Linked DNA regions of Stegostoma tigrinum. The protein of the gene in region 2 purifies or fractionates together with the protein of the main gene of each other region. This does not show direct contact. Links are inferred from orthologs where the notes say so. Each region holds a gene or a part of one and is shown on either strand. Other genes may lie near its edges.

Region 1 (7,725 bases), on a different chromosome or scaffold from region 2:
AGGAACAGTCTTAATTTATCTCTGGGTCATAGTAACCACAGAAACACGTCTACCCCACAATCCTGGGCCAGACTCCAAATTTTACTCAAGTTGACTCTAAAACTGTCAAAGGCATCAAGATCCCAATTTCAAACATTCCAGGGCATTAATCATTACAAGCAAAAGCGAGGCAATGGCCTAGTGGCATTATCACTGGATTGTTAATCCAGATAATGTTCTGGGGACACAGGTTTGAATCCCACCACAGCGGATGGTGGAATTTGAAATCAACTAAATATGTGAAATTATGAATCTAGTGATGACCATGAATCCATTGTCAGAATAACCCATCCAGTTCACTAATACCTTTTGGGGAAGGAAACTGCCATCCTTACCTGGTCTGGCCTACAATATGGTTGGCTCTAAGCTGCCCTCGGGGCAATTAGGGATGGGCAATGCTGCCTGGTCAGCGATGCCCTCATCCCACGAACGAAATCAAAAAAAAAGCAATCCAAATTCAGCAGGTAATAGGGAAAGCAAACGGAATGGAATATATAAAAGCAGGGAGATTTTGTTGAAACTAAACAAGGCACAAGTCAGGCGACAACTGGAATACTATGCACAGTTTGGGGCCCCTGATCTGTAGAAAGATATGTTGCCACTGGAGGCAATCCGGAGAAGGTTCAGTAGGCTAATCTCAGGCATAGAAGGACTGTCTCATGAGGAGAAGTTAAATAGACTGGGCCTGTACTCAGAGTTTAGATGACTGAAGAGCGATCTGATTGAAACACAAAGGCTCTTAGGGATCTGACAGAAAAAATGTGAAGAGGATTTTCACCTTATGGGAGAGTCTAGGCTCAGAAGGCATGATCTCAGAATGAGGGGGTGCCCATTTATGACAGAGATGAGAAGGAATTTCTTCTCTCAGGAAAAAAAAAAGAGAATGAATCAATGGATTTCTTTACCACAGAGGGCTGTTAGAGACTGGGTCACTGAGTATATCCAAGGCTGAGACAGACAGATTTTTTTTAAACCTGTAAGGGAATCAAGGGTTATGGAGATAAACCAGCAAAGTGGAGTTGAGGATGATCAGATCAGCCGTGATCTCATCGAGCAGGGGAATCAGGCTGACTGGCCTACTTTTGTTCCCATGTCTAATGGCCTCATGATCTTATAGCTGAGCTACTCGGAGAGGTGTCCATCAGTCAGTTCTAGTGTTGGGGTGGGACCCCCACGATGGGTTTGAGATGGTGGGTGGGGAACTCAGATTTGGGCCTCAGTCATAGCGTCTACACAAAACCAGACTGCTTTACACAGGAGCCGCTAGTACAGTATGAATGGAACCCTAAGTATGGTTGCCTGTAGCAACAGCAACCCAGTAGGCCCAGCCATGGTGACTCGTGTAGCAACAAACAGCAAACAGCCCCATCACTCAGCAGTTCATTACCAGAAATCAGGACACCTTCAGAAACTAAAGTTGGGGACAGTTTTCCGATATTCTGACCTGGAGGGGAGGCTCCACTCTGTTGGGAAATGCTCTACTAGATGTTTGCCCTATCACTGTCAAACCTGTTACCTTTCTTCCAGAGAGAGAGAGAGAGAGAGAGAGAGCGCGAGAGCACGAGAGCAAGAGCGAGAGATTATCCTTTCCACATTGACAATTTACACTTCAATACCATTTACAAAGCCTGTCAAGTGCTTCTTAACAAGAAACATTCCTTTAAAGAAAAAAAACTGCCACATATTTTTCCTGCACAGGGGCTGTGCCCATTTGAAAGTTCCTTTCACATTTTGAAATAGATTTCTTGTCTTCAAGACACAATCATGTTTTCAGAAGTGAGGATGATGCTAGGGAGCTTTCTCTGTGGAAAAATGCAATCTTATTGTCCAGTTGTTTGAACTCCACCCCAAATATTTTGTTCCCACTCATAACTTTAAACAGCTGAACACTTCAGGTTTTGTTTTTAAAAATGCAATAATTAGCTAGCTAACAGTCAGTAGTCAGTTTTTGGACAGTTTTATTTTCTGCATGTTGAAAATACAAAGCGGTAGATCAAACCAGGGAGCTACAATGAAAAACCTCTCTCTCTCTCTCTCTCTCTCTCCACAAAAATCACCTTCTCCACAAAACCCCGCTCTCCGTTATAGGGTAACAGCAACCATTTAGAAAAAAGAATGAGAGAGAAGAGAGAGAGAATTCAGCTGGCAAAACACAGCCAACCAAGGAAGAAGTGACAAACTTTTTCTTGGGGAGAAGGGGTTTGTTGGTTAAAAAAAGACTAAAAACCACAAGATCCCAAATAATAAAAAAAATTGTATTTTTAAACCAAATTGCAAAGTGACAGATTGTTTAGACAGGAGGTGGGGATGTAATTAAGCCTTCAGAAGGAGGGGGGAGCTGGGGTTAGTAATATAGAACTGATTAAAAATACATTAAGAAAACGGACAAATGAAAAAAATGGACAGCTTTTAAAAATCCTGTGACATCTGATCATGATGAACAGAAAATCAGATGTGTGGCAGTGGAATTTCTTTTAACATTGCAGTTAATGAGCCTAAATTCATTTTCACAAAACACATACATATTTACACTGATGTCTGACAAGAGCTACTCTTTTATAAACACATTCACTGATTCCCCCCCCCCCCAAACACCCGTCTCTACACATCATTTTCTTTAAAAAAGGAATTGCAAAAAAAACAAAAGAAAAATTCTCTTTTTTTTAAAAAAAGAAAAAAATTCAAAACATCACAGACAGCAAAATTACTCACCAGAGAGACAAGAAAATTCAGGAGTTAAAAAACGGCAAAGAGAGAGGGAGAGTGAGAGATGAGATAAAGGAGAGGAACAAGCTGACTGGGGGTGGGGACAGAGGGAGAGAGAGAAATAACAAGCCAGAGAGAGAGAGAGAGAGAGACAGTGAAATTCACCAGCAACCGGCACTTCCATTTCAGCTCGGGGGAGACCTGAGCTTCACAGGGAAACACGGCGGCCTGGAGATGAAGCTCACAGAAAGCACCCAGGCTCCTCCGCTTAATGTGTACAAACTGCATTGGGCAGCCGGAGTTCTGCGAGCTAGCTGGCTATGCGGCTGGGAGAGACCTCACCACCCTCAGATCCCACTCTCCTCCCTCTGCGCTGAATGGTGTGCTCGCCTCAGAGCCATCATCCACTTCTTATTCTGAAGCTCAGAGCAGTAATTATAAAATTAAATACCTCCAGTTTCTATCGATTAAAATATTGTGTACAATACAATGTCATCATTTTAATTTGGATTCCAACAAGCTGACCCCGTTTCTATTTAATTCCAAAGGTCCAGCATAACTAGCGAATTAAATAGCTCATGCCTGTTTGCTCATTTTATGTCATTGTAAATTCACCTTTTCACATTCATATGGAAACTCCTACTGCCAACCTGACAGTTTATAATCCATCCCTCTCCAGGTGAAGAGCCTGTAGCGCCTTTACAGTTCGGAAGGTGTAATTACAGCGTGACTGGTTTACATAGTTACTTTGCATTGAGAAGGCTTCTCAGAGTTCAGAAGCAAATCCTGGCCTCCCTAACCAGTTCTTCCTCCCACCTATCCCCTCCTCCCACGTCAAGCCCCACCCCCATCTCCTACATACTAACCTCATCCCGCCCCCTTGACCTGTCCGTCCTCCCCGGACTGACCTATCCCCTCCCTACCTCCCCACCCATACTCACCTCTATTGGCTCCATCCCCGCCTCTTTAATTTGTCTGTCTCCTCTCCACCTATCTTCTCCTCTATCCATCTTCGATCCGCCTCCCCCTCTGTCCCTATTTATTTCAGAACCCTCTCCGCCTCCCCCTTTTCTGATGAAGGGTCCAGGCTCGAAATGTCAGCCTTGCTGCTCCTAAGATGCTGCTTGTGTTCATCCAGCTCCACACCGTGCTATCTCCAGTTACTTACTGCTTGTGATGCACGCTAAGATTCTTTGCTTGCTGTGAATTCTCCAGAGCAGATGGGACTTGAACCCTGAACTTCTGGCCCAAAGATGAGGCACTACCATTGCAACACTACACTCTAAGGTTGCAATTATATAGAGTCATACAGCAAGGAAACAGACCCTTCCGTCCAACTAGTCCATGCCAATTATGTTCCCAAACTAAACGAGTGCCATTTGCCTACGTTTGACTCATATCCCTCCAAACCTTTCCTGTTCATGTACTCAACCAAATGACTTTTAAGTATTGTAACTGTACCTGTGCACGCCACTTCCTCAGGAAGTTCATTCACTAAAATGTCACAGGCAAAAACCTGACCTGGTATCCAAGATACATCAGGTAATGTTCAGGCAGATGACCAAAGCCTTATCTGTAAATATTTACAGGATTTGGGTGTCACCAAACTGGGCCATTGTCAGATAAGTGTCTAGAGGGAAGTTCAGTCAAACACATTGCTGTGCGTGCAAAGTCATGTGTAGGTCAGACAATGTAAGGATGGCAGATTTCCTCCCTAAAAGATCAGATTATATTTCCCCCAATAATCAGCAACAATTTCAAAGTCGTCATCATTAGAATCATAATTCCAGATTTTTATTGAATTTAAATTCTACCATCTGCCACTAGGCGTGTTTATGAACCTGTGTCCCAAAAATATCGCTGAGACCTCTGGATTAATAGTGTAGTGACAGTAGCACTTGGTCATCACCACAACCATGTGTGTTTGAAAGAACGTCTTCGAGGAGGAGAGAGAGAGAAGAAGAGAGGTTTAGGGAGGAATCGCAGATCTTACAGACCAGGCAGCTGACTGCCAATGACAGACAGATGACACTTCAGGAACTGTGGCATTGGAGGAAAGCAACACTCCCAGAGGGTTGCAGGGAACCACAGGATGAGAGAGGAGCAAAGATTATAAATGTGGATGTGCGGCTTTCTGATGGAGACAGGATGGCCAGCTGCTGACTAACTGCTGCAACTCCTCAGGGTAACTTCCATAGCACCACTCTTTCTGTGACCTCTAACTCCACCCTGAGGGGCAAAATTATCAATGTTCATGGAACTATACAGTTATAGAATTATTACAGAGCAGAGGGAGACTATTTGATCCACCATTTCCGTGCCACCGCTCCAAATTGGCAACTCAATAAGTGCCATCCTCCTACCTTCTCCCTCGAACCCTACTGGTTGTTCCTTCACAAATATAAGTCCTAATTACTTGTGAGTACTTTGATTGAACTTGCCTGCCACAGGCAATGAATTCCAAAGCCCAGGCACACATTGTGTGAAAATGGTTTGCTTCTTATCACTTTTACAAACCACTTCAAATTTGCATCCTGCCCTCTTGTTCTCATTCGCTTCATGAGTGGGAACATTTTGTGCAAACACCACTGTTTTTGTGTTCACAAGGTGTGGAGCTGGATGAACACAGCAGGCCAAGCAGCATCAGAAGAGCAGGAAGGCTGACGTTTTGGGCATTTCTGAAGAAAGGTCTAGGCCTGAAACATTACCCTTCCTGCTCCTCTAATGCTGCTGGGCCAGCTCTACACCTTGTTATCTCAGATTCTTCAGCATCAGCAGTTCCTACTGTCTCTGAATTGTTTTTGTGTTTCTCCTGACGTGGACAGAACACATCGAATGTTCTTTCATTGTCACTGGGTCAAAATTCTGACAATCTGTCTCTAACAGCTCATAGAGGGTACCTTAGGCCGTAAAAGACTGCAGTGGCTCCTCCCAAACCTGACCGCACCCTGTTCTCAAGGACAATAAGGTCTGGAAAACACACGTCAACCTTGACACCATTCATCTGCGACCTGAGAACGAATGATAAATGAAAAGCTTTTACAGTAGTTTCTATTTCAATGGAGAGGGTCAGGGAGGTTGGTTAGCTCCATCAGTTGGACAGCCGGTTTACATTACAGTGTGATGTTAACAAAGCGGGTTTAGTTCTTGCACTGACTGAAGTTACATTGAAAGTGCTACCTTCCCAACCTTGTATCAGAGACAGTAGGAACTGCAGATGCTGGAGAATCTGAGATAACAAGGTGTAGAGCTGGATGAACACAGCAGGCCAAGCAGCGTCAGAGGAGCAGGAAGACCGATGTTTTGGGCCTAGACCCTTCATCAGAAATGGGGGAGGGGAAAGGTATTCTGAAATAAATAGGGAGAGAGGGGGAGGCGGATAGAAGATGGATAGAGGAGAAGATAGGTGGACAGGAGACAGGCAAGTTAAAGAGGCAGGGATGGAGCCAGTAAAGGTGAATGTAGGTGGGGAGGTAAGGAGGGGATAGGTCAGTCCAGGGAGGACGGACAGGTCAAGGGGACGAGATGAGGTTGGTTGGTAGGAAGGTAGGAAATGGGGGCCCACTTGACCTGTCGCCGCACCCCCATTTCCTACCTACTAACCTCATCCTGCCCCCTTGACCTGTCCATCCTCCCTGGGCTGACCTATCCCCTCCCTAACTCCCCACCTGCACTCACCTTTGCTGGCTCCATCCCCGCCTCTTTAACTTGCCTGTCTCCTGTTCACCTATATTCTCCTCTATCCATCTTCTATCCGCCTCCCCCTCTCTCCCTATTTATTTCAGAACCCTCTCCTACTCCCCCATTCTGATGAAGGGTCTAGGCCTGAAACGACAGCTTTCCTGCTCCCAAGATGCTGCTTGGCCTGCTGTGTTCATCCAGCTCCTCACCTTCCCAATCTTGCCCCTGTTCTGTGGCACGGTGGCCCACAAGTTAAACACTGCCACCGTGCCCCCCTCCCCAACTGCTCACAATCATCTCTCTCTAATGAGACAGTGGGACCGTGGTGGCTTTACCTATTTCTGCAGGAAATGGACAGAAAAATCATAACAAAGGACGCCCTCACTTGTGTCAAAAATGATACAATTTATAAATTCTTGGTAACAATTTTTCACATCACTTCATCCCATCCATCTGAATTCTTCACTTGGCTCCCATTCCCCATACGGGGGGGGGGGGGTGGCAAACAATCACAAGTGGCAGACTCCTGCTTGGGTTTAGCATCGTCGGGTATTCCTCTGAGCAGTCTGTTTCTCTCTTTCCTAATGAAGGTCACATTTGACAGGCACAGGAGTGTAGCTGTAGATATATCCTGCCAGTGGAGGTGAATGTTCGAAATCTGAAACGACCGCAGGAAACACTCAGCATGACTGATCTCATCTGTGAAGAGAGTTAATGTTAATATTTTGAGACAATGACCTTTCATCAGAACTGCGAAAAGCTAGGAAAGTCAGAGATAGCGAGAAGTCCAGATGCTGGAGACAACACAGTGTGGAGCCGGAGGAATGGGTTTTCAGCAAGAGATAGATGACAGTGGTTTGGGAGGTGAAGCGTGGGGGTCAATGAGAGGTCTGTGATCGTGTGAATGTAGGAGAGACTCATTAACTAAAGAGTTGGAGGTCCAAGGCCAAAGGGCATGAAACTAGGGCAGATAACATGTGCCCTGAAGAGGTGTGAGTAGCAGGATGGAGAACAGCAACAATCTGAATGTGAAGAAGTTAGAGAGGAAATTAAAAGGACCCAAGACCTACTGAGTATTTACTAAAATTTCTGATTTAACTTGTGCCTTTCACCTTTTGGGTAGACTCTCATTCGGACAGTTTGAATGGAAAGAGGTAAGAGAAAAAGGAGCATGGATAACTCACTGAACTTCTTAAGCCTGCTCTGCCTTAAAAAAATCTTGGGAAATATCAATAAAACAATGGTTTAGTTGGTCAGGAGTGACCACATCTGTATCGCGGGGGGATTGGTTCACATTGA
Region 2 (7,622 bases):
TGGTTTAGGGATGCAGTTGGGGAAGGGGAGATTTTGAAGCTGGTGAAGTCCACATTGATACCATTAGGCTGCGGGGTTCCCAGGCGGAATATGAGTTGCTGTTCCTGCAACGTTCGGGTGGCATCACTGTGGCACTGCAGGAGGCCCATGATGGATATGTCATCTAAAGAATGGGAGCGGGAGTGGAAATGGTCCATTCATGACCTCATCACCTCAGGGGACCTCCCACCCACAGCCTCCAAACTTATTATTCCCCAAACCCGCTCGGCCCGTTTCTATCTCCTTCCCAAAATCCACAAACCTGCCTTCCCTGGTCGACCCATCGTCTCAGCCTGCTCCTGCCCCACCGAACTCATCTCCACCTATCTGGACTCCATTTTCTCCCCTTTGGTCCAGGAACTCCCCACCTACGTCCGTGACACCACCCACGCCCTCCACCTCCTCCAGGACTTCCAATTCCCTGGCCCCCAACACCTCATCTTCACCATGGACGTCCAGTCCCTATACACCTGCATTCCGCATGCAGATGGCCTCAAGGCCCTCCGCTTCTTCCTGTCCCGCAGGCCTGACCAGTCCCCCTCCACCGACACCCTCATCCGCCTAGCTGAACTCGTCCTCACACTCAACAACTTCTCTTTTGACTCCTCCCACTTCCTACAGACTAAGGGGGTGGCCATGGGCACCCGCATGGGCCCCAGCTATGCCTGCCTCTTTGAGGGTTACGTGGAACAGTCCCTCTTCCGCACCTACACAGGCCCCAAACCCCACCTCTTCCTCCGGTACATTGATGACTGTATCGGCGCCGCCTCTTGCTCCCCAGAGGAGCTCGAACAGTTCATCCACTTCACCAACACCTTCCACCCCAACTTTCAGTTCACCTGGGCCATCTCCAGCACATCCCTCACCTTTCTGGACCTCTCAGTCTCCGTCTCAGGCAACCAGCTTGGAACTGATGTCCATTTCAAGCCCACCGACTCCCACAGCTACCTAGAATACACCTCCTCCCCCCCACCCACCCTCCTGCAAAAATTAGATCCCCTATTCCCAATTCCTCCGCCTCTGCTCCCACGATAAGACATTCCACTCCCGCACATCCCAGATGTCCAAGTTCTTCAAGGACCGCAACTTTCCCCCCCACAGTGATCGAGAACGCCCTTGACCGCGTCTCCCGTATTTCCCGCTACACATCCCTCACACCCCGCCCCCGCCACAACCGCCCAAAGAGGATCCCCCTCGTTCTCACACACCACCCTACCAACCTCCGGATACAACGCATCATCCTCCGACACTTCCGCCATTTACAATCCGACCCCACCACCCAAGACATTTTTCCATCCCCTCCCCTGTCTGCTTTCCAGAGAGACCACTCTCTCCGTGACTCCCTTGTTCGCTCCACACTGCCCTCCAACCCCACCACACCCGGCACCTTCCCCTGCAACTGCAGGAAATGCTACACTTGCCCCCACACCTCCTCCCTCACCCCTATCCCAGGCCCCAAGATGACATTCCACATTAAGCAGAGGTTCACCTGCACATCTGCCAATGTGGTATACTGCATCCACTGTACCCGGTGCGGCTTCCTCTACATTGGGGAAACCAAGCGGAGGCTTGGGGACCGCTTTGCAGAACACCACCGCTCAGTTCGCAACAAACAACTGCACCTCCCAGTCGCAAACCATTTCCACTCCCCCTCCCATTCTTTAGATGGCATGTCCATCATGGGCCTCCTGCACTGCCACAATGATGCCACCCGAAGGTTGCAGGAACAGCAACTCATATTCCACCTGGGAACCCTGCAGCCTAATGGTATCAATGTGGACTTCACCAGTTTCAAAATCTCCCCTTCCCCAACTGCATCCCTAAACCAGCCCAGTTCGCCCCCTCCACCCACTGCACCACACAACCAGCCCAGCTCTTCCCCCCACTGTATCCCAAAACCAGTCCAACCTGTCTCTGCACCCTAACCGGTTCTTCCTCTCACCCATCCCTTCCTCCCACCCCAAGCCGCACCCCCATCTACCTACTAATCTCATCCCACCTCCTTGACCTGTCCGTCTTCCCTGGACTGACCTATCCCCTCCCTACCTATACTCTCTCCACCTATCTTCTTTTCTCTCCATCTTCGGTCCGCCTCCCCCTCTCTCCCTATTTATTCCAGTCCCCTCTCCCCATCCCCCTCTCTGATGAAGGGTCTAGGCCCGAAACGTCAGCTTTTGTGCTCCTGAGATGCTGCTTGGCCTGCTGTGTTCACCCAGCCTCACATTTTATTATCCTGGAATTCTCCAGCATCTGCAGTTCCCATTATCTCTAAATATAATTCAGTCCTAATTTTCTCTGTATTCTACCATAATAATAATGCCAATGGTTGGTTTAAAGTCATCACAAGTAGGTGAGGAACGAGTGCGACGATTATGAATTTTCATTATGATCATGAGCACATTAATTTATAAAGAGGTTTCCGATTAGAATATTTTATGTTAGCACGCATTACCAAAATTAAACTTGTGTTCTTCAAACAAAAGACTGCGTATACTGAAAACAAATAGAAACGGTTAAAAGGTGGTGGTGGAGGTACCTAGTTCACGTTCCGAGTCCGAGTCCAATTTGACTGTTAAGAGTCAAATTGGACTCGAAAACAAAACCTGATTTCTTCCCTCGAGGTCCAAACCTCAAAATTTTAAACTTCTACAGTTGGTGCTGGAAGGGTAGCCATTCCCTGAAACCATGAGTGACTCGTGACAAAGTGCGCTGTGCGGAAGCTCTGACAACCATATCACGCACAGTCTGCAACGAGTCCGGAGACCGTCACCTCAAAGGAGGGGGAATCATCGGCGGTCACCAAACCCCACTCTCCGCCATCCCTCACCCGCTTCCCCGCCATCAAACCCGGGCGCCACTCACCGTAAGCCAGCTGCCGGGTTCCACGAACCGCCGCTGGCCTCCGACCCGGGATCCGGGACAACAAAATGGCGTCACCCCCTTTCCCCAAAGACAGCAACTTCCACAGGAAGCGGGGGAAAAGAAGTCTCCACACCTTCCTTACATTTTACAAACTACCAATTGCTGTAAAGGCCGGAAATCATTTACATTTCAGTAATGTACTTCTACTGTAATTTTAAAATACTAACACCAAGATTTATTAGGTTTTACCTCAACTTTGTTTTGTTCTCCAGCTTCCTACATCCACCCCCACCTCCAACCAGTTGGTTTGGTCAAAGACAATCTCGGATGAAGGCGTGAGGTGCTACTGAATCAACAACTGCTTTCATTTATAGAGCGCTTTTAATTCAGCAAAGTGAAAAAGCATCACAGTAATATTATGAAACGAAATTGTGCACAATCATGGAAAGTACTATTAATTCAGATAAACAAAAAAAATTGGCCAAGAAAATGGGGTTCTTGTACCACTATCTCCCATATATTTTCCACATTTCCGCTCTTTCCCTTCCTACAGAGAGCCACACACGCTTCCTTTTCCGTCTTCCCCCAAATTTTCACATTAAACGTTACATGGCTGTAACACATCTTCCCCTTTCAACTGCCCTGCGGACCATTCCAAAACGTCCTCTTCCCCTTTCCTCCCGTCTTTCAAGTAAACAGGGAGATCAAACGCTTGCCCTTTTACCTAATCTCCCTTAAACAGTATCCAAGGCCATCCATTTAGACGAAATAGGATTGCCTGTGTCAATTCTAATTTTGTACACTCGGAAATCGAACGAGGTTAAATAATCTTGTGGAACATTTCGTTCAGTTCACAAGCATATGAGACCAAATTAGCAATCATTAGTCATTTTCAATCTCCATCTTGTGATGTGTTACCGTCTATGAGCCTCCTGCTGTTCCAACGTAGCTCAAGGAGTCTAATCTTGGAGTATGTTGCATATAGGGAATGAACTGAGGGGTAAGTGGTAGAGGAGGGTACAATTACAACATTTAAAATGCATTTGGACAGGTTCATGAATGGCAAAAGTTTAGGGGGCCTGTTTGTCCGGAAATGAGCCAAATTCAGGCAAATGGAACTAGTTTAGTTTGGGAAAACTGGTCAGAATGGACGAGTTAGAGTGAAAGATCTGTTTCTGTGCTGTGTGACTGAATCTTTCCATTGGGCCCTTTCCAGTATGAAAATACCTCAACAATTTCGGTGTATAATTTCAAAGGCTTATCTAAATATTTGTTTTATTTTTCTGTTATCCCTTTATTTGCTTTTCTTACTTTTTGAATTTTCCTGGTTTGATGAAATGTTATCTCTTTCCCTGGAAGCCTGTTGAATATATCAAAATTTTTTTGTGTTTATTTCAAATTTTCTGTAACTGCAGTATTTTACTTTTTTTTAAACATGTCTCTTAAAAGAGGAAAGAGAGGTGGGCCAGAACAGCAACAGATGAGCTCACGTGGACCAGAATCAAGCAATGTTACAAGGGAGATCTTAATGATGATCATGGTCAGCAGTGCCTCTATGATGGCCCACCCACCTCCAAAGCATAAAATTTCAAAACTTAGTTCCACTTGGGGGCTTGAGTACAAAAATCAAGGCCCATATTCCAGGGCCAAATACTGAGGGAGTGCTTCAGTATTGAAGGTGCAGTCATAGAATGAGATGTTAAAACTGATTTTCTACCTGTTCAGATGGAATTTTTAAATTCCTTGATGGAATATGGGTGTCACTGGCTAGGGTGGCATTTATTTCTCATCCCAGATTACCCTAGAGAAAGTGTGGTGAGTAGCTTTCTTGAACTTGCTGTTCCTGAGGTGTAGGGGGGTTACACACAACTGTTAAGAAGGGAATATCAGTTGATGACCCAGTGACAGTGAAGGAATGACAATATTGTTCCAAGTTAGGATCATTGCAAGAGCAAAGTTTTTGGCGAAGATCTGTAGCTCTGATGGGTGAGGTTGTTAACTTGCTTGCCGAGCTGGCCTGTTCTCGTTCAGACATTTCATCAGCATGCTAGGTGACGTTATCAGTGGAGCCTCCGAGGAAGTGGTGTTATTCTAGTCCGCTTGGATTTTATACTGTTTGGTCCATTATGATGAGTAAACTACGATTAAGGTACTGTTAAGGAAATTTGATGAGTTACTGCGCTGCATCTTGTAGATGCACACTGCTGACACTGCATCAGCAGTGAGGTGGGTGAGTGTTGTACATGATGGATGGGGTTCCAGTGAAGTGGACTGCTTTGTTCTCTATGGTGTCAAGCTTCTCAAGTGATACTGGAACTGTGGTGAAGCAGAGAAGAGTATTCTATCACACTCTAGACTTGTGACTTGGAGACGGTGGAAAGAGGTTACTGATGAGACAGGAAGTGAGTGATTCACTGCAGAATTCCTGGCCTCTGACCTGTTCTTGTAGCCACAATATTTATATTGTATTCCAGCACTTCTTGATTATTCATAAGTTTTACGTTGGTTCTGTTCTCAATTTTGCTTTGGAGCTGTGAACTGGAAATTTTGAGCTGAAGATGACTAGTGGCCTTTGTGGAACAGCTTGTGGGTAAGAGAAAAAGAACAAACCTACTAAGATTTGTTTGTTTGAGAGGTTAGGCCTAGAGACTAACTGAAGGATAACTTTTGATTAAAAGGGTTCCTACCACCACAAAGACCCCAGAAGGAGCATTGTGTTTAAACAGATAGCAGAACTTGGCTATTAACCTGCTCAGTACCTGGGAAGTGATGATGTATTCAAGCAGATAGCAGATGCTGAATAGTAATTGAGGTTTCAGGAAAAGTTGGGCATTCTCTCAGGGCAAAGTTGAAGATTTTTTTAAAAAATGTATTTTCTGGGGAGATGGGTTTGGCAGCTAGTGACACAGAATGAAGATTTGAAAGCTCCCAGACTAACCCCCCCCCACACACTATGGAAGCTGAAAGAGTAGAAAGCTGAGCTACCTTTAACTGAGTGAACTGAAAAGGTAGCTATGATCGGTGTTCCCAAAAAAACAGCTAGGCAGTCCATATTTATGTCCATGAAACAACACTATCAAACATTTAAGTCATCAGGACAGTTTCATTATTTTCTTTATCCATTAACTATTGGTTTATCTGTCTGCCTTTAGTGTGGATGTAGGCTATGAACAAATGTTTCAGGGTAAAAGCTTATACATCAATTAGATGACTTTTTTAATCACAAATTATTGTACATTTTAAGATATAAAACTGGTGTCTGGAATTAATTATTCACAAAGTCAGAGATTTTTTATTCAAAAATCTGGTTAAGAGCCATTGCACTATCTGTCCGGGTATTTCGAACGGTTAAATTTTACTGTCTGGTGAATAGAGTTGGAAAGACTGATTTGGTTCAGACTTGTCTCCACATCGTAACAATTGCTTTTGCAGTTCAATTTCTGGCCAATTGTAACTGTGTAGGACATTGTCCCCAGTTATTTAAATTACCAACACTCAACGATTTGATTTCCTTGCCTTGTTTTGAGATGGTCAATGCTTGGCACTTGTGTGGAAAAAAATGTTACATACTCAAGTCTGGATAACGGCCAGGTCATGCTGCACGTGGAAATAGACTGCTTCAGTACTTGAGTCATGAATGATACTGAGCATTCTGAAGCGGAACCGTTCATTATTGATGGAAAAGGATGGAAGGATGTAGAAGAAATTATTTTGAGAAAAAGTAGGAATAATCCTGGTTGGGTGGTCAATATTTATACCTCTGTGAGCACTGAAAACAAATTCTGGTCTTTATCAAATTGCTGTTTGAGAGAGATCACTAAGCAAATATCAGCCACTGCATTTTCATTACGATATTTCAGAAACAACTTCACTGATTGTAAAGCAGTTTGAGACATCTGGTGACTGCAAAAGCAGATGTAAATGCAAGTTCTGTTTGTTAAAAATGGTATAGAATTTTATTAGGGCATTTGTCCTGAGAGGGTTAGCTCGAAAGTTTTGAAAAAGAAAGACGCCACCCAATGATATAAATGACTGTCTTTGGGATAAGTTAGTTAATTGTTCCAGTTTGTAATTAGTCAGTTCTACAAACCACAGTCATGTAGCATAGACCTAGTTACTGTGTTGCAACTGATACAGTCTTACTTACGTTGTCACAAAGTTTACTAGTCTTAGCTAATGTAATCTAGCATCTTATGATTGTGTAATAAACTTCCTCATTGCACAAGTACATTGCGGGTTCGGCTGAAGATTTACTCATGTTTAAACCTGCATTACTAACTGTAATAAATCCTATACATCTGCATTACAAGGAGGGTTGGTGATAGCAAAATCTACACAGCGAAGATCCAATCAGAACCACATGCCAGCTGTAGGCATCTCTTATAAAATCAGAAAATGCTGGAGAAACTCAGTGGTTGTGGTAACATCCGTGGTGGGAGAAACAGGTAAAATCTTGAGTTCAATACAATAATTCTTCAGAACTGGACTGGAAACTATAACTTTCATTCTAACACATTTTTGTCAAAGAGAAATCATATTTAACTAATTTATTGGAGTACTTCAAAGATGCAATTTATGCTGCAGATAAAAGGGAACCAGGCGATGTATTGTACTTAGATTTCCAGCAGACATTTGATAAGGTGCCACAACAAAGGTTATGGCATGAACAGAAGATTAGCTGTCTAATAGGAAGCAGAGAGGAGGAATAAGTTGATCTTTTT
Region 3 (7,733 bases), on a different chromosome or scaffold from region 2:
TTGAGATTGTGAATCATTACTTCCACCATGAGCATGTGGGTGAATACACACTGTAGAACTAAACATCAAGTCGGATGGAGGCAATTTATATAGATCATGGTTGATCAGCAACATGACCACCATCTATGCACCATGGTTCCAAAGACGGCCTTCATATCCTCCGATGGCACTGAGCATGGTGACGAAACGTCTGAACGAGAACCAAAATCTGAACTCCATTTTAAAATTTGTAATTGACCTTAACCTAATAATTTGTCTGGCCTTCCATACAAGGATGTAGAATAAGGTAGGTACACTATGCAGGCTCCAAGTCCACTACAACATTAATTATGGCTGATCTGCTTCTATTCCGAATTCCACATTCCTATCTACGCCCAATTATCTTTGATAAAAAAGACAACCTGTGAGAAGTGATTTCAATCAGCTTCCCTGAATAGCCTAGCTGTTATAGATTCTTGTACAGCAAACTATTGGGGATTGAAGACAGCCAAGTCCACAGGGCCTGAGATAACAAGGTGTAGAGCTGGATGAACAGAGCAGCCTTCCTGCTCATCTGATGCTGCTTGGCCTGCTGTGTTCATCCAGCTCTACACCTTGTTATCTCAGATTCTCCAGCATCTGCAGTTCCTACTATATCCTCCACAGGGACTGATGGCCTATATCCTAAGGTCTTAAATGAAGTGGCAGCAGAAACAGTGGATCCATTGTTTATAATATTCCAAAATTCCCTGAATGCAGGAAAGGTTCCAGTGGGTTGTAAAATGCAAATATAATGCCCTTGTTTGAAAAGGGAGACAGGCAGAAAGTAGGAAACTATAAACCAGTTGATTAAACATGTGCCATTTGGAACTGGTTACAATCCATTCATTAATAACAGGATATTTTAAAAATGAATAACATTTGGGACGTCAAAATGCACTCAAGAGTCAGCATGATTTTATTTAGCGTAAATTCTGTTTGACTAATTTGCTAGAGTTCTTTGTTGATGTAACAAGCAAGATAGATAATAGGAATTTATAAGTGTAGAATATCTGGGACTTCCAGAAGGCATTGATAAGGCGCTGCACAAAAGGTTAATCCATGAGATAGGATCACATGAGGCTGAGTAATTTATTAGCTTGGATAGAGGATTGGCTAACCAACATAGCATACGGTGCTGAGGAACAGTCACTGACCCAAAATGGTAATTCTGATTTCTCTTCATAGATGTTGCCAGACCTGCTAAGTTTTTCCTGCAATCTCTATTTTTGTTTCTGATTTACAGTACCTGCAGTTTTTCCACATTTTATTCAGAGGATACATCAGACTTTTTCTGATTTGCAGATGTCTCTAGTGGTATGCACAGATTTTGATCCTTAGGACACAACTATTTACAATCTATATTTGTGACTTAGGTGCAGGGAAACAAAGTACTAGAATGAAATTTGTAGATAACACTAAAAGTGGGAAATATGTTGCAATGAAGTAATAAGAATTTTACAAGTGGAAATCGATAGGTTACATTATGGGTCAAAATTAAGCAGATGAAGTTTAACATGGATAAAAAAGATTACCTATTTTGATTAAAGAAATAGGAAAGCAATTTATCTAAACAGAGAGAGAAACTTCAGAGTGCAGAGGGATCCAAGTGTACTTCTGCAAGAATCCGAGAAAATGAAGATACATGTACCACTGGCGATAAGAAAGGCAAATGGAATTTTGACTTTTGTTACTAAGGAAGTAGAAGAAAAAGTAAAATGTTTGCTGCAACTGTACAAGGTTAGCGAGATAGCACCTGGAGTATTGTATTCAATTTTGGTCCTTTTACATGAGGAGTGATGTAGTTGCATTGGAGGCAGTTCAGAAGAGGTTCACTACATCAATTCTGGGATGAAGTGTTTGTACTATGAAGACAACTTCATCTAAAGTCCAGAGTATATGCCCATAGAACTGCCTACTCACCTCATCTGTCAACTACTGATGTTTTCAAAAAAACTGAGAACATCTTAGTTGGACCTAAGAAAGACAGATCGCTATTTTCTCACTGTTCAGAAAAGGAAAGTGTGGATGAGGAGAAAGAGATTTATGGATGTAAGGATTGGAATGAGGTCAGCCAGCTGGACTGCATGCTTTCCTGGAACTTCCCTGTTTCCTCGCTGGACTTTTGAACACCTTTGAAAATGAGATGGTCACATTGATTGCTTTCCACCATACTCCAAATCTCTTTAAAAATTTCTCAATTTTTGGATGTCATCAGACTCATGTTCACAGTTTCCATTTCCTTTTACCACCTCTTTGGTCTTTCTGTAGATGATAGTCAGCCAGTAAGAGGTAATTGTAAGAAAAGAATACCAGCTTGATGTTAGTGGATCTGGCCATCCATGTGACACAAATGGAAAGTTTATCCTGCAATGGACAGATTCATCTGGCCTTGACCAGATGTATCCAAGCTGCATTCCATCTCCAAGGTTGAAGATGTGCTGCATAAGGCAGCATCTTTTACTGTTTCCATTAGTAGCATGGAGGTGGCTTCAGGACTTTTACATTCAAATAGGATGCCACTTGTTCTACATTGAACCAAGTGCAATGGAGAATCATCCTGAAAAGATATATAGTAATGATTCCAAACACTTCCACATTATGCACACATGTAAATTAAGGATTCACAAATGGCACACCCACAACATACGTACCTGGGGAGAATACAGGATAGGAATCCTTCAATTCGCTGCCCATCTTCTCACTAAGTATTTGTTCTACATTACAATAATTCTAAATTTCAAAAAGTACTTAGTTAATTATAAGGCATTTTGGGGCATTCTGAAGTAATGAAAGAGAATTAAAGCGTGCATATTATGTAGTACTATTCACAAACTTAATGTTCTACAAATTAAATTACCACTTGGAGAGTGGTTGCCATTGTAACATAGTAAAGTTAATAAATAAATTGAATTGTTTCTTTCAGATTTCCATCCTTAATGTAACATACAAAAGCAGTGATGTGATATGAATATCAGAAATATTATTTTTGAAAAATCCCTGAAAAATTATGTATTACTTTGAGTGAGCTCCAACTTTAGCTAGATTGAATTTAAATACAACTTGCCTGAATCTTTGCTTCTGATACATACAGCCTCTCAGCATTTTTAAAGCTATATTAAAAAAAAACCCCTCTACCAAGGATCATCCAAGGAATATTCAATATAATGCACTATTGAAACGATCTGCACAACTGTTGCCAGACAAAACTACTTTTTTGTTTTCACCAAACCCATTATATATTGCTACATCAAGGCTGATAATGAGATCAACATATAAAAACCAAAAGACCTGCGGATGCTGTAAGTCAGGAACAAAACCAGAAGCTGCTGGAAAAGCTCAGTTCTCAGTCCTCAGAACACCGGACCCGAAACGTTAAACTTTGTTTTTGTTCAATCAATATACGTGTTTAATATGCTGTAGTTACACAGTCTTTCTACTATGTGTCTTTACACCCAGTCTGCCACAATTTTCAAGAATGTATCGGCTTTTCGTTAAATCACCCTGAATTGCTGTGGTTGTATTTTCAATGCCAACGGGTACTCTTAACAGCATTCCACCGAAATGGTGATCGCACCGAAGATAAAATGCAGTGATAATGGGAACTGCAGATGCTGGAGAATCCAAGATAACAAAGTGTGGAGCTGGATGAACACAGCAGGCCAAGCAGCATCTCAGGAGCACAAAAGCTGACGTTTCGGGCTCTCTGATGAAGGAAAAATGCACATGCATTATGGGTTTACATCAACAATTATCACTAAATACAGTTAGAGATTTATAAACTAATAAGAAGCTACAGATACAAAAAGTTTTAATAAAGTAAATGAAGTACGAAAACTCCCCTCAAATATCTGTATGAGTGGTCTTAAAACACTTGGGTCCCCCAAAATCTTAAGTTAAACAAAACGCTCAGGTTGGCATCAGTTATATACAACGATCTCCTGGAAGGAACATGGATAATTGCCCAAACTGAACGTGCAGTTCAGAAAGCCTAATACTTATCAACTTTGAAACGTGTCAAGAAATCATTGGTTTACAGATTAGAGATGGATGTTAGGGACTATTATGTCTCGGATAGCAATTCCAAACGTTAAAAATAAAGGGATAACAACTTTGAATGAATAGCAACCTCAGGCTACCTGCAGAGCCAAGTAAAACATTTAAAAGCTCACGCCTAATTTCAATTTACTAAAAGAGATGAAACTGAATGGCGAAGAAACTCAACAAACGTGAACTTCGGGCGATAGAAGTAAAGTTAACCTTCGAAGTCCGGTAAGGCTGACTCTTTGTTTCAGAACTGTGTTGGCTTACATTCATTTAAAAAAATACTTTTCGACAATATGTCGAAGAAAGTTGAGGCAATTTCAGTGATATTTCTATCTGGTTGTCAACACGTGACCATACTAATACTTACTTCAGTAAGATTGAACCGTATCACTCCTAACTTCCAAATAGCCGGGTTTAAACAATTTGATTGACAAACGAACCAGGTTTTCGTGAATCGCCTCTTTCACGACTGGAAGGAAACGCCGTAACAAGATTTCATCGTAGGCCGCTACCCTTTGGGCCAATAGGAATTGTCGATGACCGCAAAGTGTATAACTGACGTTCGTCGTAACCAATGCACTTGAAGAAGTCGTGGAGGCGCGGGTGTGATGGATAAACAGATTATCCAATGGAAGAGGAGGGGGTGGTGCTTCGCTTGCTGGCGGCGCGCGGGGTTGACTTTGTTTGATTTTAACGGATTTTTTTTCCGCCTCTGCGCTTGGCCTGGGCTTTTCCCCTTTCTCAGCTCGAGTCCCGGAAAGACATCAGTGCTGCCGGCACTCTCACCCCGTACCGAGTACGGGGCTCAGACAGAGTGAGTGTGAACTTGTCGAATAAGAAAAATAATATGAGAACTCGACGTGAACTGGGAAACAGGCCCAGGCCATGCGGCACAGGGGCCTATGCTTCTCGAAGTTAGGCCTCGGCTTTGGAGAGATTGGTCACCCCCAGACAGAGGCACTGTTGGCTAGAAGGGTGAAGAGATGGAGTGATGGACGGAAGACCGGGAGTTTTATTATGCCTATTATGAGGAAAATGCGATGGAGACTAGTGGGCTTTCTAGTGGTAGGGAAAAGGAAATCCTAACTCGAGATCGGGGATGTAAACCGGTGGTGTAGGCCCTTTTAAAAAAGAGCGACGGTTGTAAGATGGAAACAGAAGAGGAGGGTGGAGGTCCCCGGTGGATGGGATTTTAGTGTCCTGGCGGCTTCAGCCCACAGAGGGAAAAGGGTGGATGGTGGAATGGGGCCAATGCATTTGTTAGAACAATGCGCTTTGCGCCCGGGCTTTTGTACCCAACAACCTCCAATCACTTCATTGAACAAAGCCCCTTTAAGCACGTATTAATAGCAAAAATAAGTCTTTCAACCGAACGGAAATGTTATATTTATGACCTCAATGTTAGCAATATCTTCTCAAAAACGCTTATTAAACATTTGCCTAAAACCCACACGTCCATTACATAAACTTAAATTTCCAAATGACTGACTTCCCTCTTCGTCCCAGAAATTTTTTTTCAGCAGTTCTTTATTCACCAAATTTCGGGTAAATTATCAATTGATTGCAAATGCGTTGCACACGAATGAATATGTAGATACGGTTGACTTACCAAGTGAAGGTAGTTAAAGCATGCTATGTCTGTTTCTGAGATAACAAGGTGCAGAGCTGGATGAACACAGCAGGCCAAGCAGCATCAGAGGAGCAGGAAGGCTGACGTTTCGGGCCTAGTCCCTTCTTCAGAAATTTCTAGGCCCGAAACCTCAGCCTTCCTGCTCCTCTGATGCTGCTTGGCCTGCTGTGTTTATCCAGCTCTCCACCTTGTTCTCCAGCATCTGCAGTTCCTACTATCTCTATGCCTGTTTCTTGTTCTTTTTAAGGTTTCATCTTTATTTGCAGCTACCCACATTAGCAAATCTGAATGACAATAACACAGTTAATCACATTTGTTCTTCCCAGGAGTCCGTTTTTTTTAATATATAGGGCTGCTTTGAAATGTTGAAGATTCACCAGCTGTATGACACCACTCTTTCCATTGTCTAGCTCAGATTGCCTGATTCAATAATATCATTGATCTAGATTCGTGTTTACTTCGACTCGGATCCATTGGGTTCAACTCATTCATGCCAGCGAGATTGCCTAAACTGATCTAGTCCCATTTGCCAGCATTTAGCCCATATCGCTCTAAGCCTTTCATATTCATGTACCCATCTGGATGCCTTTAAAATACTGTGATTGTACCAGCCTCCACCACTTCTTCTGGCACCTCATCCCATACATGTACCACCCTTTGCATGAAAAAACTGTCCCTCAGGTCCCTTTTATATCTTTCCCCTCCTATCTTAAACCTATGCTGTCTGGTTTTGGACTCCATTTTGCAGTTTCCTAAAAACTGAAAGCATCAAAGATATTAAAGTTGGTGTTTGTAACTCAGCGCATTTCTAAACAACTTCTCCAGAGGATGATAATACAAAACAATTATTATAAAGAACAATGTGTTCAACAAGAGCTTTTTTCAAAATATAACAAGGTTCTATAAACTGAAATGGCAGTATTGGCTAAAGTAGTGGTTGAGTGTAGAATTCAAAATACAGTTGTTGGAAAAGCTCAGAGATAATGGGAACTGCAGATGCTGGAGAATCCAAGATAACAGTGTGAAGCTGGATGAGCACAGCAGGCCAAGCAGCACCTCAGCACCACAAAAGCTGACGTTTCAGGCCTAGATTGAAACGTCAGCTTTTGTGCTCTGAGGTGCTGCTTGCCCTGCTGTGTTCATCCAGCTTCACACTTTATGTTGGAATAGCTCAGCAGGTCTGGCAGCATCTGTGAAGGAAAAAATCAGACTTAACATTTCTGATCTAGTGACCCTTCTCAGAACGCTGTAGAATGTTGATCAATCGCTGGTGCGCCTTACTGAATTGCTTAATATTTGTTTTATTTAATTTTATTTCTGGCAAAGACAATGCATGGCAATGCTTGTGATTAAATAACATACCACACAGCACCAAGACATTTTTGCGAGGGGTCTTGAGTAAAACCATGTTGGAGTGGTAAAGTATAATTTCTGATTGTGGGCCTACTCTTTGATGCATTTGGAGGCTTTTAAATTATGTAGATTATTAATACCAAAGTTGGTTGTATTTTTAAAGGCGTGGAGAGTGCAATCAATTTGCACTTGTACAGTTCCACCTTGAAAATATTAAAGATGATTTATGGGGCAGAAAGAAGTAGTACAATAATATAAAGAGAATGTAGCATCAATGCTAAGAGTTTGGAGTGTGTCAATAAGTGGTAATGATTAAAATAAAATGGAGTATCAGGACAAAGATTTGAAGTGCAGTCTGTTGTAAACATGTTACCATTCTAGATCAGAGAAGGCAGTAGTGGTATGTGTTTGGAGTCCAGGGACGTTCAGGTGATATTTGATCGTGTTTCGCTATTGAAGTGTGGTGTAAGTGTGAGCTTCCAAGAACGGTATTAGAGTGTTTTTCACTTGAATAGTACATAATCAATGGGTTATTACATAAGGTAGCAATTTGCAGCTCCTGTCTGCTCTGGCTGTCCAAATGAGCATGCAGTTGGTGCTGTTATGCTGCTTTTTTTTCCCATAATCCTGCATATTGATCTTTTTCGAACGTTTAATTAAAGTTGCCTCCAGCATATTCTCTGAC
Region 4 (7,609 bases), on a different chromosome or scaffold from region 2:
GAGCAGGGACCCAAGTCAGAATTCTGAAATCCTGCCAACTTCAGAAGTTTAAGTAAATTGCAGGAGGTACTGAACTTCAGTGAACAGCATTCTTTTAATGTATATGGTTTCAGTGTAAGTGTATGGGTGATAGCAGACACTGAGGAGAACTGTGGGAATTTCCAGGAAAGTTCAATCTTCAAAAGATCAATCTTAGAATGGTTACAGAGATAGCAGGAACTGCCGATGCTGGAGAATCCGAGATAACAAGGAGTAGAGCTGGATGAACACAGCTGGCCAAGCAGCATCCGAGGAGCAGGAAAGCTGACGTTTCCGGTCTAGTTGATTCTAGGCCAGTTTCTGAAGATTTCTGAAGGGCCTAGACCCGAAACGTCAGCTTTCCTGCTCCTCTGATGCTGCTTGGCCTACTGTGTTTATCCAGCTCTATACTTTGTTATCTCAATCTTAGAATGAAGCTCCTTCACTCTCTCCTCAGGTTTAATTATGCATTTGCTGGTGCAAGATGTCAATCAGACAGATCTTGCTTTGGGAAGTATTTGACTGCATTTGGACGGGCTTTTCTTTTCGTCTTTTCAACCAGAACTTAATTCTATGGGGCCTTTTACATTATAAAAACATAAGGTGCTGTGTGACAGAGTGTGTCAGAAAAATTCAGGTGATGCCAGCCTGTATGAGGAGATATTTAAGCAGATGACCCAAAACCTTGGCCTAAGAGTTGAGAATGAACTTGGATGACAGAAGAGGGAAGGAAGGAATTACAGAGCTTAGGACCCACGCATCTGAAGGCGTGATGAACAATGGTGCACCATGGAAATCAGGGGTGATCAAGAGACCAGAACTGAAAGGGCTCAAATTCAGAACACTGCAGAACTAGAGGTGATAGGTGAAGCACCAACATTCAGAAGACTCAATACTATCCAACAACACAAGTCAGGCTGCTAATCAGTACCACTGAAATCTGCAAGACCACAAGCTCACTGATGGAGGTGGTAACACCTACAATCTCTGACAAAGCACAAAGATCACAAGAGCAACCTTCATGCACTCTGCCATGCTTTACAGCTTCCTGACAATGTCCTCAGACATTGCCTGATATCTCTACTGTTGAGCCAACAGTAGCAGTTGAAAAATTTCACCACATGAAATTAGTGTAAGTTACACACCAAAATTTAGTAGTGAATATTGACACGATTGCACAGCTGTTAAGTCACTGACATCTTAGAATGCAACTAAGATTCTAGGCCAGTGAGTCGTCAAGCAGGTTGGGGGAAGAGGGGTCACAGCAAGGGACGGGATGGGGGAGTGCGTGCAAGGGGTTGTGGGGTGGGAAGACAAGTGCTGTGAGTGGGCGGCCAAGGGAGCAAAAAGCGAGGGGAGCGGAGTCAGAGGCACAAGAGGGAGGGGTGGCGGAATGCAGGAGAAGAGTGGTGGCAGACCACAGGGGTTGGGGAACAGACCGTGGGGGCGGGGGCGGGGGTGGGGTAGCAGACCATGGGGGAGGAGGATTTTGCAGAACACAGAGGGAGTGTGTGGGGGGGGGAGGGGGGAGAAGATATGTGGGTGGGGGCAATGGGGAGACAAAACAGGGTGTGGAAGGGGGCGGGAATAGAAGAGCCAGCATGGTGGTGGGGGGTAGTAGAAAAGCGTGGGCTTGGGGGGCAGGGGAAGAGAAGCGCAGGGGATGGTGGGGGGGGAGGAGGGTGGTGAAGGTTCGGTGCGTTTGTGGGGGGGGGCGCGGTGAGGGTTCGGTGTGTTGGGGGGGCGGTGAGGGTTCGGTGCATCGGGGGGGGCGGTGAGGGTTCGGAGCGTTTGGGGGGGGCGGTGAGGGTACAGTGCATCTGGGGGGGGCGGTGAGGGTTTGGAGCGGTTGGGGGGGGGGCGGTGAGGGTTCAGTGCATCTGGGGGGGTGGGGCGGTGAGGGTTCAGTGCATCTGGGGGGGTGGGGCGGTGAGGGTTCGGTGCATCTGGGGGGGTGGGGCGGTGAGGGTTCGGAGCGTTTGGGGGGGCGGTGAGGGTTCGGTGTGTGTGTGGGGGTGATGGGGAAGGTTTGGTATGTTTTGGGGGGTGATGGGGAAGGTTTGGTATGTTTTGGGGGGTGATGGGGAAGGTTTGGTGTTTTGGGGGGGTGATGGGGAAGGTTTGGTGTTTTGGGGGGGGTGATGGGGAAGGTTTGATGTTTTGGGGGGGTGATGGGGAAGGTTTGGTATGTTTTGGGGGGGGTGATGGGGAAGGTTTGGTATGTTTTGGGGGGGGGTGATGGGGAAGGTTTGGTGTTTGGGGGGTGATGGGGGGGGTTTGGTATGTTTGGGGGGGTGATGGGGAAGGTTTGGTGTTTTGGGGGGGGGTGATGGGGAAGGTTTGGTGTTTTGGGGGGGTGATGGGGAAGGTTTGGTGTTTTGGGGGGGTGATGGGGAAGGTTTGGTATGTTTTGGGGGGTGATGGGGAAGGTTTGGTATGTTTTGGGGGGTGATGGGGAAGGTTTGGTGTGTGTGGGGGGAGTGATGGGGCAGGTTTGGTATGTTTTGGGGGGTGATGGGAAAGGTTTGGTATGTTTTGGGGGGTGATGGGGAAGGTTTGGTATGTTTTGGGGGGTGATGGGAAAGGTTTGGTATGTTTTGGGGGGTGATGGGAAAGGTTTGGTATGTTTTGGGGGGTGATGGGGAAGGTTTGGTGTGTGTGGGGGGGGGTGATGGGGCAGGTTTGGTGTTTGGGGGGGTGGGGGGGGCGATGGGATACAAAGTGCAACCCTGTACTCTAAGGCCTAACGCCAGGCCTCCACCTTCTCCCCCACCCCCACCACCCCCGGCCTGTCTGTCTGTCTGTCTGTCAGACGCGTCGAACCTTTGTCCGTTAAACCGCCTCGTTCCTTACCGCTGTAGTGCCGCCCGTCCTCCGACATGTCCCGTTCGTCTCCCTCCTCTGGATCCGGTCAGTAATCTCCGTTTCTCCCCTCCGAGCTCCTCAGGGGATGACACCCGAGCGGGGGGGCGGGGAGGCAGAAAGAAGATACCGTGGGATGTCCTGCTGGTTGGCTCCGTTTTGTGTTGGTCGCTCTGTGGGATTAAGGCTCTAACGGACACCCCGCCCCCGGTAGTGTGTCTGTGTGTGACCGCCCGCTCTGACAGGAATGTGCGATGGCGCCTCACCCACGGACAATCGGTCCGACGCGCGTGCGCGCTCCACGGCGCCGCAACGACCGCGCGTGCGCGTCCACCAGATCACTGGCGTCGCTTGGTGCTCCCTGACGTCACAGGGAGGCGGGGCGGGGCTGGCTTCAAGCGCTTTGGGGCGGGGCTTGGGGACCCGGAAGTGGAGTTAGGAGAAGAGATGTGTCTATGCTGCTGATGGGGTTAGGTTGGACGTGTGAGAGACAGGGATGAGTTAACTGCAGCTTTAAACAAAGACATCTGGTACTGAGCTGAGTGATAAGATAAGGGAGTGAAGGCCAAGCAGTTAGAAACCAGAATGAACTGGACCCAAACTGCTAAGTTTTGCTTTGCACCATAGACATAGTTGAAGCGCATGCTTAATAAGACAATGCATATTAACTTTCACACCCATGCTTACGAGACTGCTTAATTAACATAACATGCAATGTATGATGAGGGTGGGACAAGGGACGACATGGGAAGATTGTGCACCTTGGAGCTCAGATTGGACAGAGCCGAAAGTGGAGGACATAGATGGATAAAATGATGTATAAAAAGAGGCGACTCCCTGACCTGTGTGTGTCTCAGGCAATGGGAGGCACCCGATTCTGCAGACTCGTAATAAAGTGCAAGTAACTTGTTTCCAAGACTTTGTGATTGTGAGCACTTGAATCTATTATCTCACAGACGTATTTAACATTGTCACTTGTACCCAGGTAGGGTGAAAAGTGGATGATGTTGCCAGGTTCCGGTGAATTACAGAATAAAGTGTATAAATGGTTAAAGTACTGAATAAATTAATGTTAAATTGGTGTCAGTAAAACTGAATGAGCTCCAAAAAGTAGTCCTCCTGCAGGAAGGGGGCCCCCAGGGCAATCAAATCCAAAAAAAAGGGTCCTCAAGGACTATGGATGCTGTAAATCAGGAATAAAAACAGAACTTACTAGAAAAGCATCTGTGAAGAAAAAATTCAAAGTTAATGTTTCGGGTCCAATGACTCTTCCTCAGATCAGAACAGTTCTGAGGAAGGGTCACCATACCCAAAATGTTAACTCTGATTTTTCTTTCTTCACAGATGCTGTCAGACTTGCTGAGCTTTTCCAGCAACTTCTGTGTTTGTTCCAAAAAATTAGGGGAAGGGAATGAGCATAGAGCTACGGGAAGGCAGGCGGTGGGGTTATGAGTAACAGAGTCGGGGTTGTGTTTAGGGGGAAGGAGTGGAGGGGGGGTGGAGTTAGTGTGAGGGGATTTATCCTAGAAACAGGATAAATGTATTTTTGTTCCGAAGAGTCATAATGGATGCAAAATCATTCACTCTTATCCCCAGGCCTGCTAAGCTTCTCCACCAGTGTTTTGTTTCAGATCTCCAGCATCCACCGTTCTTTGTTTTATTGAAATTGGCTTTATATCATTTTATGGAAAATAAATCAAAAATATCTACAGGAACAGAAGCAGGTCAATCAGCTTGTTGGCCCACTGTTCAATACAATCATTGTTAATTTACCCAGTCTAGTATGCCACTGGTGATCAGAAATCTATCTCAAAGAGCCATAGAGTTGTATGGCACGGAAATAGACCCCTTGGTCCAACTAGTCTGTGCCAACCAGTATCCTTAATTAATCCAGTCCCATTTGCCAGCATTGGGCCCATATCCCTCTAAACCCCTCCTTTTCATGTATCCAATCCAGATGCTTTTTAAATGTTGTAATTGTACCAGCCTCCACCCCTTCCTCTGGCAGCTTGTTCCATACACGCACCACCCTCTGTGTGAAAATGTTGTCACCCTTTGCATTCTTCCCCTCTCACTTTAAACTTATGACTTCCAGTTTTAGGCTAACTGTCACGGCTGCTCATATTTGAAAGACACAAAATGACCGATAAGGGGATAAACAGAATTAAATGCCTGCTCCAGCATTTAAGTGAAACTATGGTGCCTTTGAAAAGGGGTTACTCCAAGGTGAAAGGGGGTTTGGGGGTTGGGAGGAGGCCCCGTACAGGCAGCAATCAGGGTCAGCTCAATAAGAGGGTGGTCAAGGGCCGCAAGCTTGAAAATTTGTAACAAACACAGATGAACTCGTTGAGACTGCAGGTTGTAAAAAACTGTAGCATTAAACAAGTTCATTAAACTGTAAAAAGTGACTGATTCCAGCCTTGTTAATGAAAGGATGTCATCCCATTAGGAGGAAAGAATCAGTCAGAATAAGGACACTAAATCTCAGCCCATAAAACAGTCAACCTAATTCATCACACAGCTGTGAAAACAACAGCGAAAGTTATTTAGCAGTAATTAGTTTTATTTTCTTAAAATTGTTACAATATTAAGAAATAGGTTCTAGTTAAAGATTCTTCAGATGATCACACAGATAGATTCCAACGTAATTATCAGCACAAGTATACAACATCATGTCCTGTATGAAATAAACTGCTTGCAACTTATTAGCGAAAGAGTGCTCACAGCAGAGGTAGCTATAAAATTTTACACTAAACCAACTATATATTAGAAATTAATTTTCCAAATCTTAAGGCAGTTAGTTAGAACCAACTGTCTTCTGTATTTTGTTTTTATATAATTAGGACAATGGGAAAATATAAGGTGGGTAACAGATTTTGATGGAGATAGCAAAGGAATACAAGGGGCAACAGAATTCAAGCAGTCCTTAGAGATAAGCAAGTCTGGGATGTATTCGAAGGAGTATAGCTAGTAACTTTGGAACGTGAATTAATAGAATGAATAGAAAGATCCCAAGGCCTGGAGATTATAATGTCTGTTAAACATCATGAGACCCATGGGATCTTAGGGCTGTCAACAGGAATGTCCATCATTGATTAGGTGGTTCACAGGATTGAATGTATAGAATAAGGGGAGGGACACAGTAACAATGTTGTATATGATTATTATAACACAAAATGTCCAAAATTCTGTTATCTCACTGTGAGCACTGGAATATGAAATTGATCGTTCTTCCGATTTGAGCCAAAGATTAAGAGAACAACTGGGTTCTCACACACTGAGGCCAGATTCAGGGAAGTCCTTGGCCCTCTCCCTGCATTAACCAGTTGTTGGTTGAACAAGAATAAAGACTGCCTTGTGCCTGCCTCCTGAGTCTTTGTCACTGGTCTCGTGTTTCTCTCCAACACTCCCCCACCCTGGAAAAATACCTTGGCAATTCATTCTATCGATACACCTCATGATTTTATAAACCTCTACAAGGTCACCCCTCAATCTCTGACGCTCCGGGGAAAATAGCCCCAGCCTGTTCAGGAATAAAAACAAAGTTGCTGGAAAAGCTCAGCAGGTCTGGCAGCATCAGGTCACCGGACCCGAAATGTTAACTCTGTTTTCTCCTTCACAGGTGCTGCCAGACCTGCTGAGATTTTCCAACAACTTTATTTTTGTTCCTGAGTTACAGTATCCGCAGTTCTTTTGGTTTTTATCCAGCCTCTTCAGCATCAAACTGTAGCTCAAACCCTCCAACCCCGGCAACATCCTCATCAATCTTTTCCAAACCCTTTCGAGTTTCACAACATCTTTCCTATAGCAAGGAGACCAGAACTGCATGCAGTATTCCAATAGTGGCCTAATCAAGTTCACCTCACATTTTAAAACTGAAAGAACTGCGGATGCTGTAAATCAGGAACAAAGACAAAAGTTGCTGGAAAAGCTCAGCAGGTCTGGCAGCACCTGTGAAGGAGAAAACAGAGTTAACATTTCGGGTCCGGTGACCCTTCCTCAGAACTGATGGTAACTGGGAAAATGTCAGTTTATATACAGAAACCAGGGAGGTGGGTGGGTGGGGTAGGGAGTAAACGACAGGACAGAGCCCAAGGAGAGAGAAAAAGACAGTTGGACAGGCAAAGGAGTTGCTAACGATCTGGCTGGGAGGGTGAGTAGTTGTTAATGGGGACTGTTAGTGACTAACAACAGGGGGTGTGCAGTGGCGGGCTGTGTGGTAACAAGGCCTGGTGTGTGGGGTGGGGGGGTTGGAACATGGGAGAGTTTAGGCCCTGAAATTATTGAACTCAGTATTGAGTCCGGAGGGCTGCAGGGTCCCCAAGCGGAAAATGAGGTGTTGTTCTTCCAGCTTGCGCTGGGCTTTGTTGGAACACTGCAGCAAGCCGGAGACAGGGATGTTGGCCAGGGAGCAGGGTGGTGCATTAAAGTGGCAGGCAACAGGTAGTTCAGGGTTTTTTTTCGCGAGCAGAATGTAGATGTTCTGCGAAGCGGTCGCCAAGTCTGCGCGTCGTTCCCCCAATGTAGAGGAGACCACATTGTCAGCAGCGAGTGCAGTAGACTAAATTCTGGGAAGTGCAGGTGAAGTGTTTTTTCACCTGGGAGGTATGTTTGGGCCCTTGGATACTGGGGAGGGAGGAGGTAAATGGGCAGGTGTTGCACCTTCACCAGTTACAGGAGAAGGTGCCGTAGGGCTGTGGGGAGGTGTTGGGGGTGAAGGAAGTATGGA

The links.
Region 1: the proteins of dhx9 (region 2) and raly purify together in Homo sapiens (affinity purification with mass spectrometry; 3 studies listed by BioGRID and IntAct, with this or other methods). This does not show direct contact. The link is inferred for Stegostoma tigrinum from reciprocal best matches to the Homo sapiens genes DHX9 and RALY.
Region 3: the proteins of dhx9 (region 2) and ELAV-like protein 1 purify together in Homo sapiens (affinity purification with mass spectrometry; 3 studies listed by BioGRID and IntAct, with this or other methods). This does not show direct contact. The link is inferred for Stegostoma tigrinum from reciprocal best matches to the Homo sapiens genes DHX9 and ELAVL1.
Region 4: the proteins of dhx9 (region 2) and nuclear RNA export factor 1 purify together in Homo sapiens (co-immunoprecipitation; 4 studies listed by BioGRID and IntAct, with this or other methods). This does not show direct contact. The link is inferred for Stegostoma tigrinum from reciprocal best matches to the Homo sapiens genes DHX9 and NXF1.

Annotation. Positions count from the first base shown.
Region 1 is NC_081372.1:7,063,134-7,070,858, forward strand, and holds the start of raly (RNA-binding protein Raly), read right to left. Parts: upstream 3,014-7,725; 5' UTR 2,930-3,013; coding exon of another isoform or gene 2,752-2,929; intron 1-2,751. UniProt on the Homo sapiens protein: RNA-binding protein that acts as a transcriptional cofactor for cholesterol biosynthetic genes in the liver. Binds the lipid-responsive non-coding RNA LeXis and is required for LeXis-mediated effect on cholesterogenesis.
Region 2 is NC_081361.1:44,889,258-44,896,879, reverse strand, and holds the start of dhx9 (ATP-dependent RNA helicase A), read right to left. Parts: upstream 3,013-7,622; 5' UTR 2,902-3,012; intron 1-2,901. UniProt on the Homo sapiens protein: Multifunctional ATP-dependent nucleic acid helicase that unwinds DNA and RNA in a 3' to 5' direction and that plays important roles in many processes, such as DNA replication, transcriptional activation, post-transcriptional RNA regulation, mRNA translation and RNA-mediated gene silencing.
Region 3 is NC_081383.1:36,221,475-36,229,207, reverse strand, and holds the start of ELAV-like protein 1, read left to right. Parts: upstream 1-4,720; 5' UTR 4,721-4,879; intron 4,880-7,733. UniProt on the Homo sapiens protein: RNA-binding protein that binds to the 3'-UTR region of mRNAs and increases their stability.
Region 4 is NC_081395.1:11,825,374-11,832,982, forward strand, and holds the start of nuclear RNA export factor 1, read right to left. Parts: upstream 3,014-7,609; 5' UTR 2,900-3,013; coding exon 2,872-2,899; intron 1-2,871.